Linked DNA regions of Drosophila melanogaster. Changing the gene in region 1 together with any one later gene gives a genetic interaction. Each region holds a gene or a part of one and is shown on either strand. Other genes may lie near its edges.

Region 1 (4,592 bases):
GGTTTAACGAGGACACCGTCAGCTATGTGGCGGCTGGAATTTTCCGACCTGGAACCAGCTTTATGGGCCCCACCCAGAAAATTACGCAGTGAGAATCTGTTTGGGATTCAAACACACCTGTTGTGCATCTAACGACTTTTCTTTTCATCGTAGACAATGGATGACCGATGCCTTCAACTACTGGGATGAGCTGCGTCGCTCCAAGGAGGCTCCTCTGGCGGGCGTGTGCCAATTATCCGGCTATATTTACTCCCGCACCTCCCCCTCCATCGTACGGGTACGTTGCCGGGCAGTCGACAATCAGTGATTCTTATCTTCATCGGCTTAATTCGATTAACTTTGTTGTTGGCTGCCTTAGAACCACTTTATTGAGAAACTATTGCCCGTCTACCGAAGAGCCACCGAGGAGGAACTGAGGCTATGCAACGGCGGCTGGAAGTACGGATCCTTCTTCACCACATGCCTAACGGAAAGCCGCCTCTTCTTGCCCTATGCCACTAAAAAGTGAGTAGCTGTTTTATGATATGAAAGAGAAACAATTTGAAAATAATCGTAAATATTAACATATTGTAGATTCCTGGAGAACGGAGGAGAGGTTGTCCGTCAGCATGTGAACAGCTTTTTCGAAGTGCCGCAGAACATTGACTTGCTCCTTAACTGCACCGGAATGGGAGCCAAGGAGTTGTGTGGGGACCAGCACTTGGTTCCCATTCGGGGTCAAGTGCTCAAAGTGCGTGCTCCCTGGGTAAAGACGGCTTTCTACGGCGATTACGACACCTACGTTCTTCCCGGATTTGAGACTGTGACCCTGGGAGGATGTCGCCAATTCGACAGCTACAACACCGAGTGGTGCAAATACGATAGCATGGCCATTCGAGAGCGTTGCTACGATTTGCTGCCCAGTCTCCGGAAAGCGGAGATCGTGCGGGAATGTGTTGGTCTGCGGCCACACCGCTCCGTCGTTCGGGTGGAGCCAGAACTGATCACGAATCCGGAAGGCAGGCGGCTGAAGGTAGTCCACAACTACGGCCACGGCGGCTACGGTGTGACCACGGCTCCTGGAACGGCTATGTACGCAGTTCGATTGGTACGCGATCTACTAGCGGGAAACAGTAAACTGTAGGTGGTAAAATCGTTGTTAATTGTTGGTCATTAAACTCTTTATACTCAGAATCTTTGAACCCAGATTTGATTTGGATTTTTTATTGTGCAATAAACTAATTGCAGTTCTCAAGGTTGCGATATGCGCCAGTTCCAAAGGTTTCAAGAAGGAATATTTAGAATATTTAAAGAAACAATTCTTATAAATTTTATTTACTGTTTTTATGAGTTCCTTGGTCTATATTGTTTCAGGATAAGAACATGGGTTCACAAAGTGAACGAATAAATTCGCGCCCACGAATAAATTCAAATGAACCCCTGGGCCAGTGCTCCACAAGGCTGCGGAAGTGCGAAGTGCGCATGACCGGCGCATGAATGGAAAGCTCGCCCGAAATCGCCGCGAAAGCTACGCCCACACACAGACACCCCAGGCACGGAAACCCATCGATTTTCAGCAGCAGGAAAAGCAGCAGGGAAATTGTGTGGGCAGCAGCCAGTCATCCAGTCAGTCAGTTAGCCAGCCAGTCAGCCAGGTTGAAACAGTTGAATTATGAAAACGTATACAAAACTGGCCCGTTTTCGCCGCACCAGTCAATTCGCCGCCTGAGAGCGAAGAAAAAATTGAAAATTGTGTGTCCTTTGGTGTCGACGTGTCGAGGCAAAAAGGTAGAACAGTTGGTGCGTTGCATTTGCTGAATAATTGAGCCACTGCAGCCGGAGTCAGTTCAATTCTGGCCAGACGAGTGGGTCCGCGGGCGTGTGAATAGTTGATTGGGTAACCGTAAACAACTCGACGAATCAATCGACGTGAAATCGCGGCGTATGTCAGTCCAGTGCCAAGGCTGAGTCGAGTCCTTTTCCTTATCCCTTCAGCGAAAGGAGCTGCCATTATCGATTTGTGTGTATGTGCGAGCAACAACACGGCGTACCTCTCACCCACACATCGAAAACAGCAGGATATTCTTGTGACAGCAGGATCTGCAGCAGCACCATCATAAACAGCAACTGAGATATTAGCAGCAGATACTACTGTAACCGCAATAACCTCAAGAAAGAGTAAGTTTATCTGACACATTAAGTATCCGCCATGATGGACCAAAATGGGTGAATGGGGGTACTAGTTCCAGCTAAAACCAAAATACCTGAGTTTTCGCATCAAAAACTTTGCAGTATCAGTTCCATATTGTCAAATAATGAGGCCGTTGGTTGGAATTTATTATTTTTACATTAAACTTCATTGATTTTGACATTATAAAGATTACACATCAACTTTTTAAAAGTATTTAAAAGGTATTTAATAACTCAATGTTACTTTTATAGTAGTTCCAAAAAAACTTCTGATGGATTTCAGCTTAGTGTATCATATCTTATTGACAATAGATATGGGCTATACATACATATGAATGTGGCCAAATAATACATATGTAGTTTTACAACTTCCAGGAAAGAGTTAATTGTTTATTCCCATTGATTGATAACTCGGTATTTATGCACATGCCTAATATTTACGTTTGACAACAAACCTTAAATTGAAACTTTTCCAATTGGAACCGTTAAGGCAGGATTGAGTTCTCGTTTTGGCCAATATTGGGTTTCTTATCAATAATTAAACAAGCCCGCAGCTGCCGACCGCTGAACAGCTGCCAAATCATTGGAAATTTGAAACATGAAAGAGCAGTTAAGGGGGTGGGTAATGGGGGCAGGGTCTGGCAGCCACCCCCACGCAGGGGGAAAACAACAGAAAAATCGATAATTACACGCAGTCGAGCAGATAAAAACATTTCCACACAGCGCCTGTGATAAGGGCCGTCTGCCGTTGAAGACCTCTTATTGCGGCCCCTCTTTGGTGTCTGCGTTTGGGTTTGGGTTTGGGTTTGGGTTCGGGCCCCTCCAGGATATTTCTGGGCCTGAAGAGGCTTGACAGGAGCGAAGCCTGTCCTTTTGCCAGCAAAATCCTTGACGATGACGCGCGCACTCGGTCCTTCTACACCAAGTCGTTCATCAGCAATCTGACAGCGTTTTGCCGCTGCGCAACTTCTGATTCTGGACGGGGGAAATAAGGATGAGCGGAAACGGAACCAGGAGAACCAGGCTATATACACAAATTATCGACACAATGTCGCCGCCTTCATTGCATATGGAAAACAGGCAGCCAACCATCCCGAATGGCAAACTGTAAGCCGAGACTGTTGTCACTTGCCCAAGCCAAGGCTGAAAGTTTTCAAGGCCGCACCAGCCCACCAGCCCACCAACCCGCCGTTCAGCTCTGAAATTCGCTTTGAGTTTTCCCAGTGACGTGACAGGGATAATCAAGTGGGTCCTTTCCCAAGTCAGGCCGCTAAAGCCAACCCCTCCCGCCTACTCCAAGGATTAAAAGTCAAGGGAATTGGGGGGTTATGCTTTAGAAAATATAAACGCAACTTGTTTAATCCACACGCACGCGATTCAATCACTTCCGGGCACAGAGAGAACTCCGGTTGGCCACCAGTTGGCCTTGACCGGTGTTTCATGTGCACCATCTAGCCCCACCGGTTCTTCGTGCAGCATGGACCACAAATGGAGTGTCTATGGATGACATAAAGGTTGATAATAGCACATTAGCTACTCGACCAGCTCCATGCGAATTCCGATGTTGACGCCATCGCCCACGCCGCAAAAGGCATCGGCCTTGCAGCCATTCTGTACACCCATGTTTCTTCCCGTTCCTCTGTTATGGATCATTAGCTCCTCCGGTGTATCCTGATGGATGCCGCACTTGGACTTGGATTCATTGACACCGCTGAATATCACAATGCCAGGATTGCAAAAGTTACCCTGATTGGGAGCCATCATAGGCATCTGAGATGGCTGTTCCAGTTGCCTAGGCGAATCCTTCCGCATCAGCGTAGTCATGCATATGCTAGTGTTGCTGCTACTAGTTATTATGGTCGTGGTATCTATGGTCTCAATTAGCTGACCTTCATCCTCGGAAGCAGCGATGGCCGCCTCGCTTGCTTGCTCCTGCTGAGCTTTCAAGTCGCTTTCCCTTTGCCGCTCCAGTTCGCGCTCTAGTTCCAATTGCTGCTCCTGCTCGATACGTTCCTCTTCGTGCTCCTCCTGAGCTTGAGCCTGGCATAGCTCCACATGCATTCTGGACAACTGGGCGGCATCGTATGGGCAGAAGCAGTTTAGGCTTACAACTCGATTGCCCATGTGCTGGACTGGTCGGCTGTTACGGGCTATGGGCGAGATCCCATCCGGACCTAGGAGCAAACGAAAGTGACGCAGCTGAAAGTCGCTAATGGCTAGGGATTCGGGAAAGATGAACCATTCGGTGCCCTGGTAACAGGGCGGATGGGTCAGCGAACCGCCGTAGGAATAGAATCCAGATCGAAATTGATACATCAAGTAGGATATGGGAAATGGAGAAATCTGGACACGCTTTCCAGGCTTCTGAACCAATCGCAAATTCTGCACCAGGGGATCCAGGAACGGATTGTGCGCGGATAGCT
Region 2 (7,848 bases), 1.9 Mb from region 1:
TCCCCCTCCGCGCCAAATGCAGATCTCAGCACTTCCTGTCTATATTGAGTTCAGTTCTTTATTGCCAATTTACAGGAGGAAGGCTGGCTGATGGGTCAGAAGGAGGGCACCAACGAGAAGGGACTCTTCCCCGCCAACTTCACGCGTCCCATCTGAAGCGACAAACTGGGGAACAACTGGGCTAGCAACGAACCATCAGCAACTTCAGATCAACCATAAAAATCTTTACGAACGGAGGTCCAAATCCAAATACAAACTTTTGGCCAAATTTTCTTTGTGAGCGCTGCTTTTGCTTTTGTCCAATTAATAAATTCTTGTTTTGTGAAATGTATTCGGTAACTGGCAATCCATTTATAGCGATTGTTCGTTAGGGCAGTGCTTCCAACCATAAAATTGTTATTGTTAACACAAAGAAGAACGAACACACAGATGAGGAATGAGAGAGAGAATATTTTGAAAATGTTTCAAACATTATTTTTTAGTTCTAAGTTTCAAGAAAACCTAAAGCATAAACCTACGTATACATATATTATTTGTTAATCCTATTATTGTGCTCATAATTAATGCGAACAAAACGTATCTAATTTGTAATTTGTTAATGGCAAACCACAAATGTAAAACATATCACTCGAGAGCTAGAGTAATTGTTAAACAAATCAAAAGTCGGAGGAGATAGCCAGCCTGAACCTTTTGTATTTTGTGAATTTTGCAAATATGTAGTACGAGTTTTTTATAGTCAATTGAATGTATTTTTGGGGCGATGCAAAAAGGCCAGATGTAATTCCTCTGTGGTCCCCGAAGTTTTGGAAATTGTTTCAAGTAACAACATTAACGTTTAGCGATTACGTGTATCTTTAATTTGTACTTTGGTTTTTAATTTTTCGTTTGAGAGACTCGAACTAGCTACAGCTTTATAACGCGAACACAATCCAATAGTCACTAACCGATCGATTCGATGTTTTTATTTTATTTAACTCGATTGTAAATCACACGAAACCCGAAATAATTGTTTAAATTGTGCACACACTGTAAAGTTATTATTTTAATTTTATTTAATTAATTTAAACACTTATTTATCGCATGAACATATTGAACAAATGATAATAATTTACAGAAAGCCAATAAAACATAGATTAAATAATACAAGTCTTTTGATTTGGCGGGCAATGTCTTCTGATTTCGAAGATAGAAAGTGCTTGTAAATTTGACGATTGACCGGCGTTTTACGATATTCGCATTTTTTATGTTCTAAATGGTAATTATACACACATATATTTAGTTATTTAAAATTTACGATCATAGTCATTGGTTCGGGTCACAGCTTAACGAATATGGAAGTGCATGGTAAGTGTATTCCCTGTTGTTAGAGAGTGAAAAGGACACAACATTTTCAGTCTTTCCTAAAGCTATCAGGCATTGCCATCCTGAATTATGAGAATATGGCGCACTGCCATCCTTATTTTTAAGGATGTCTGGCGTTGCCATCCTTATTTGAAGGATGTAAGGCGTTGCCAACCTTATTGCTAAGAATGTGTATTGACACACATGAATAGAAATCCGTATGGCAACACCGACATGTGTTGTGGTGGGGGTGGCAACTAAAAAATACCAAAAGTAATATATTTTCAAATTAAGCTGAACTGCCAGGAAATCCGTTTTTATTTGTTATAAACCACTTCTATTAGTTATTATGCGGCAAATAAAACTCCTTCCTTATGTAATACAATGAAGACTTTGATTTAAGAGCATCTATTCCATCATCGATATCTTGCCACCACTAGTTCAAATGCCGTCCGATTGGTTTGACCATCGATATCGACGAACGATAGGGCCGATAGGTTCGGACAAATAACGCCTCCTGCTATCGAAAGTCGGGTCGTGCGTCAACGTTAGCGAAAAATGCAAAATTAAATATGTTGTGAGTAGCGAGCGATGCCAAATCGAATATGTTGTGAGTTTCGAGCAAGATCCCCGTCAAACGGACTCCCCGCCAGCCAGCGGTCGCCATCCGCAGCCGCCTGGCAGCCACCCGAAAAAGTCCCCCCCTCGACAAAAAAAAAATTTAGCAGCACCGAAAACGTTCCCCGAAATGCCAGTGTAAAGTGTATTTTTTCGCCAAACAGTGCTGGCCATTAAGCAAGGCCCCCCCATAATTGTTAAACAAACGGCGAATCGAATCGCGAAATCTTCGAATCGCATTGCTATCAAAATTTTTTCGTTTCGTTAACGCCCTCGCTTATATTTGTGTGTATTCGTTCGTAAAGCAGTGCGCAGCAAGTCGCACTGCTTGCCCGAGAAAAACACTGCGAATAGGAAAAAAGTTGAGAAATTTAAAAAAGAAATAGTTTGTTTAACTCAATGTGGTTTTCTTTTGCCACTAAACGGTGCATGCCAGCGAGAAGTTAGTTGGGGTCGCGTAACTACATAGTGGATTGTGCATATTTTTGGGCTTAAAACGGGTGGGCTAACCAAAAAATGAAAAAAAAAATGGTAGCTGAGGGTCGTGTGTGTTTACCTTAGCCAGTATGATGATGATTTTCCGGAATGCATATTCCCACCTTACCACCCATAATACCACCCCCCCCCCCCATCGTTCTTCTCCTTATCTCTCTGTCTCTCTTCTTTACTTGCAGTTCCACTGCATACAGAAAAATAAACAAATACAAGAAGCATAAAATATGCAGAAAATTAAATACAAAAGGAGCCACTAAGTGTTTCGTGTGAAATCAATTTGAAGACCGCTCGTCGTCGTCGTTGTCGTCGTACATACTTTTCCGTTTCAATTACACTACAATGAATATTTGTTGAAACTTCGTTGCATTTACAGACTGGTGTTTAAAAACAACAACAACAAGAAGAAACGTTAAAAACCAAGAACAACAACAACAACAGCACTCATACACACCGAAAACTAGAAGCAAAAAGGGAAAATTATATATAGATATATATCTACATATATAAATAGTATCGTATCACACATTTACATTAAAAGGAAGCCGAACAGACGTTATCGTAACTTTTATATTAAAAAGCACCAGTAAAAAATATATAACCAACTACACACGTTCCTTAAAAACAAATGTTTTCCAAACCGCAAACCAACTAAAAACGAAATGCTTTTGAAATTAGTTTAAGCTAACTAAAAAACGTAAGACCAACCAACGCACCGCAAAGCAAATCGCGTGATTAAACTAAAAATATTTAAAACAGACCGAACATCGGCAGGGAACCAAAAACAAAAATTAAAAGAACACGATCAATCCGGAAGAACTTCAATCGGCGTACTAAAACCCGAAATTCAATATTTTTTGTATAACATAGTGGTAGCTAAAACAAATCGAGACGATAACCGGAACATCTTTTTGGAGAATCTCGTCTGAATACCTTTAGTCCCGTGTCTCCGTAATGTTAAGTAAGTAATACTGAATGCTCATTGAATACAAGAATCGTAATTTCGTGGTTAATTTTTGACTCCGACCACTTGTTGGTTGCCACTAAAAACTGGCCGAAATATATTATAATCCAAAAATCGAATTATTCTCCAGGCGAGTTTAATGGATTGTCATCCATCTTATTCAAATCCATTCGAATATATTTATTTTGTGTAAAAGCCATGCTTTCATCATAATGAAAGGGTACTTTTGTATCTAAAATATGAGCTCATAAATTCTCCAGCAAAAATAGGCTGAGGATGCGATAAGGAACTGCATGAGTAACGTGAAGCTATTTCCGGCTTAGAAATGGTTTTTCGGAAATGGGTTGCATTAGAACAGTGATTTTCAGAAGAGCAGTAGTCGTCTAAAGATTAAGAAGTCAAATCAAACGTTATCTCAGAGTGGTTTATCATCAGCATATACAATATGTAAGGCAGATAAGACCAGTTCGCGGTAGGTAAATCTCCCTCTGATTTGGTGGCATGATATATCTGGCAAACTATTGTTAAAAAACGCTTCATTGCGCCAATTGCGTGCCCCTGCCCCTGAATTTTGCTGCCACTGCTAATTCGATTTTGTGGCTTTGCTCAGCGAGCAATGTGTTCCGAGTGCAGCCCACTAATCCTCCCGAATACTATGCGTCTAGCCATCATTATCCAGATCTCCATATTCGCCCACCTGAGCCCGCCAAATTCTCCTGGTCAGACTTTTGTCAAAATTATTGCTAGGTATTCCATCGATATTTGGTAGTGGTCATGCTGAAAGCCTTACCTCGACCCATGTCAATGTGTTCGCCAAACGAAATTGGATTAGCCATCACTCGATATATAAACTAGGGGTTGGAAAAGAGAGGAAATAGCACCAGTGGTTATAGGCTATATTCTATAGGCATGCCCTATGCTGAACCCATGAATGAACCGCGGATTCGGGTGGACTCATATCTTTTAACGATAAAAGTACATTAAGAGTTTTAAAGTTTATGCAATGATATTCCAGTTTTGTGTATAGAGCTGTGTTTTTGCATCATAAGTTTCGGTATGTGACTTTTTTATTTCCGAATTAGAATGATATGCCAATTCTTCTTATCCATAGACTGCTTGGTCCACCCAATAGGAGAACACTCTCGCTAACTTGTGGCCAGCGAAGCCATATATTTTCCAAAATCAGCTTTCTTGCATTGAACTTGGCTGAGGGGCATTGTGGGGAACGCTTCCTCAATCTATTGCCACCTGGTAGAGGGCGATCCCAGGTCTGCGCAGAGAGAGCAGGCCCAGAACTTAGAACCAAAGCCAATGCCATGGTCAGAGGAAGTCCCGGGGTAGTCATGGGTAGCCATGGGCAATCTATATCCGACGTCGTCATCGACGTCGCCAGCTAGTGGGGCAGGCTAGCAAATATGAAATGTTAATTGTCAGCACGGGACACAACGCGGCGAACTCTCGTTGGGCCAACAACTGTGGTGGTCCGTAGCAGCAATAGTTGGATAGATCCTACAGTTCGGTTATGCAAGCACTAAATCAAAGCTTTGTCTCCTTGCAGATGTTCTTGGATCGTTCGATGTGGTCTTTGTTCATTAGTAACCATCACTCTCAGCCTCCGAGTCACCGAAATCTGGTCAAGAACTTAGCGTAGACCCGTAATTAGCAATAGCAATAGCCAAAGAGAGCCTGGATCGTAAGCGCTGGAGGAGGTCTGCAGAGCGAGCAAAGCCGAAGTACAAATGCACCAATCGAAACTACAACAGAATCTATAACTTGGAACGGGTGAATTCAACGCCCGCCATACAACCAATTAGCTAGGTGTCCGAGGGTCCAGAGAAGGGAGTCCAGGAGACCATCCCACCATCCAAACAGCATACATTTTATATACGGAACGGTCTGTCGAGCGTAGTGGCAGCAGCACGCGAAAGCGTCTATAAATCTAGTTAGCATGGAGTGCTGTTTATCGGAGGAGGCCAAGGAACAAAAGCGCATCAATCAGGAAATCGAGAAGCAGTTGCGCCGGGACAAGAGAGATGCGCGCCGCGAGCTTAAACTGCTACTACTGGGTAAGTGGAGCATGGCCCATTTCGATTGCACTTAGCCTGGCTTAATGCAATTGAAGCCGCCTCGCTAATTGCATTGTTTGCCCGCCGCTTATGGCTATATATATTTTCCAATCCTATATCCCCAGGCACTGGCGAGTCCGGGAAGTCCACATTCATCAAACAGATGCGTATTATCCACGGCAGCGGTTACTCGGACGAGGACAAGCGTGGGTACATCAAGCTGGTTTTTCAGAACATATTCATGGCCATGCAGTCAATGATCAAGGCCATGGATATGCTGAAGATTTCCTACGGCCAGGGAGAGCATAGTGTAAGTGAAACATTGATCTAATTGAAGTCACTGAATCTTAAACAACATCTTACGATCCACAGGAACTGGCCGATCTGGTGATGAGCATCGATTATGAGACCGTTACCACGTTCGAGGATCCATACTTGAATGCCATCAAAACGCTTTGGGACGATGCTGGCATCCAGGAGTGCTATGATCGTCGTAGGGAATATCAGCTGACTGATTCAGCCAAATAGTAAGTTAACCGTTGGCATGCAAAGGGAACGGTTTAAATCCGTCCGCAAAATGACCGAAAAACGAACTGAAGAGACTGAAACTACCGAAACGACTATGCAAACTAAATCAATTATCTTGTCTATGTATAGTTATCTGAAGGATCTCGATCGTGTGGCTCAACCTGCATATTTACCCACTGAGCAAGACATTTTAAGAGTTCGTGTGCCCACAACAGGGATAATTGAGTATCCCTTTGATTTAGAAGAAATCAGATTTAGGTACATACCATCTTTCTACCCTTACTTCGTTGCATGTGCATGACCTCTTGTTTGGTTATGGTTAAAATTTATTTTGTACTTTGTAACTACACACTTAAGAATTTCTTTAGCGCATGTCTCTTCAAGCAAACAATTCAGGGACTTAGTTAGGGCCTTCAGCGAAATTGATGGACTGAGACGGGTTGCAAAACTATTTTTGCCACTGCTTTTGGTTCCGTTCATTGTTTTAAAAGTGTATTAATTTATCTAATTTAGCTACTTGAGCGATCTAGCTCGAATTGAACAGGCTGATTACTTGCCAACCGAGCAGGATATTCTGCGTGCTCGAGTGCCGACAACTGGCATTCTTGAGTATCCATTCGATTTGGATGGCATTGTGTTTAGGTATCTATTAAAAATATCAATTGGTAATTACCGGCAAGGCTAGTAATGTAAATGGTCATTGTAAAGCTAGTGAAGACGATTTCTTACAATTTAGTTACTAATAGATTCGTTGCTTGCGCTCTAGAATTAAATGCTTGTATGTTTGGCCTTATATGTAGTTAATTTGTTGGTTAACTTTTCTTACAATAATATATTTTTCTTAATAAACAGAATGGTAGACGTCGGTGGTCAGCGATCCGAGAGAAGAAAGTGGATTCATTGCTTTGAGAATGTGACATCAATTATATTTTTGGTAGCGCTATCGGAGTACGATCAAATCTTGTTTGAATCTGATAATGAGGTATGATTTCAAGTTATGAATATATTTTTTTTAAACAAATAATCACCTGTACGCTTTCACAGAATCGAATGGAGGAATCTAAAGCTTTATTTCGTACTATAATTACATACCCTTGGTTTCAAAATTCGTCAGTTATTCTTTTCCTGAATAAGAAGGACTTGTTGGAAGAGAAAATAATGTATTCGCATTTGGTAGACTATTTTCCTGAATACGATGGTAAGTGTTCCGCATGATAAAGGTGGCCATAATTATGTACGATTTTATGCGGCAATGAACCAGGTCCAAAACAGGATCACGCTGCGGCCAAACAGTTCGTTCTGAAAAAGTACTTGGCCTGCAATCCAGATCCCGAACGTCAATGCTATTCGCATTTCACAACGGCCACAGGTGGATTTTCACCTTATGTACTTAAGATCTATGTAATTGCCTTAAATCGCCAATATCATCCGTAGATTATTTGCTAGTTTTCGTAGAACCACGCTAGACGTAACTTCATATTCGCCTTCTTATCGAAACAGGTCCTCAGCGAGATGCAATAACGGCCCGAGAGTTTATACTGCGAATGTTTGTAGATTTAAATCCAGATTCCGAAAAAATTATCTATTCTCATTTCACGTGTGCTACAGGTAAGTTTGCTGCCAGTTCTGTGTTTGGTCAGAAATTGTGTGTGGATGTGATTTTAGTTTTCAGCCTAAAAAGGACTGGTCAAAAGGTAAACTTTTGTGTGAAAAACATTTACATTTGCATATTTGCTTTTGCCGCTGATCTAGAGTAGAGAGTAGTTGTGTATCGCTAGTCAAATTTGCAAACCTAAACGAATTGATTTCTAATAAAACAACGATCTCTTGGTAAACAGA

Evidence for each region. A genetic interaction does not mean that the proteins touch.
Region 2: of Rab3 (region 1) and Galphaq, changing one suppresses a phenotype caused by changing the other (phenotypic suppression), as found in Drosophila melanogaster (one study listed by BioGRID).

What each region holds. Positions count from the first base shown.
Region 1 is NT_033778.4:10,726,170-10,730,761, reverse strand, and holds the start of Rab3 (Rab3), read left to right. Parts: upstream 1-1,558; 5' UTR 1,559-2,157; intron 2,158-3,489; exon of another isoform or gene 3,490-3,702; coding exon of another isoform or gene 3,703-4,592. Other genes in the region: Daao1 (D-amino acid oxidase 1), read left to right, coding at 1-88, 154-277, 359-504, 574-1,123; CAH13 (carbonic anhydrase 13), read right to left, coding at 3,703-4,592. UniProt on the Drosophila melanogaster protein: Involved in exocytosis by regulating a late step in synaptic vesicle fusion. Could play a role in neurotransmitter release by regulating membrane flow in the nerve terminal.
Region 2 is NT_033778.4:12,610,934-12,618,781, forward strand, and holds the start of Galphaq (G protein alpha subunit q), read left to right. Parts: upstream 1-1,806; 5' UTR 1,807-1,913; coding exon of another isoform or gene 1,914-1,918; exon of another isoform or gene 1,919-1,946; coding exon of another isoform or gene 1,947-1,951; intron 1,952-2,633; coding exon of another isoform or gene 2,634-2,724; exon of another isoform or gene 2,725-3,412; intron 3,413-4,853; exon of another isoform or gene 4,854-4,896; intron 4,897-4,973; 5' UTR 4,974-5,363; coding exon 5,364-5,481; intron 5,482-5,606; coding exon 5,607-5,791; intron 5,792-5,853; coding exon 5,854-6,008; intron 6,009-6,138; coding exon 6,139-6,267; intron 6,268-6,522; coding exon 6,523-6,651; intron 6,652-6,861; coding exon 6,862-6,991; intron 6,992-7,053; coding exon 7,054-7,207; intron 7,208-7,270; coding exon of another isoform or gene 7,271-7,378; intron 7,379-7,509; coding exon 7,510-7,617; intron 7,618-7,847; coding exon 7,848-7,848. Other genes in the region: Amph (amphiphysin), read left to right, coding at 76-156; CG45086 (uncharacterized protein), read left to right, coding at 1,914-1,918, 2,634-2,724.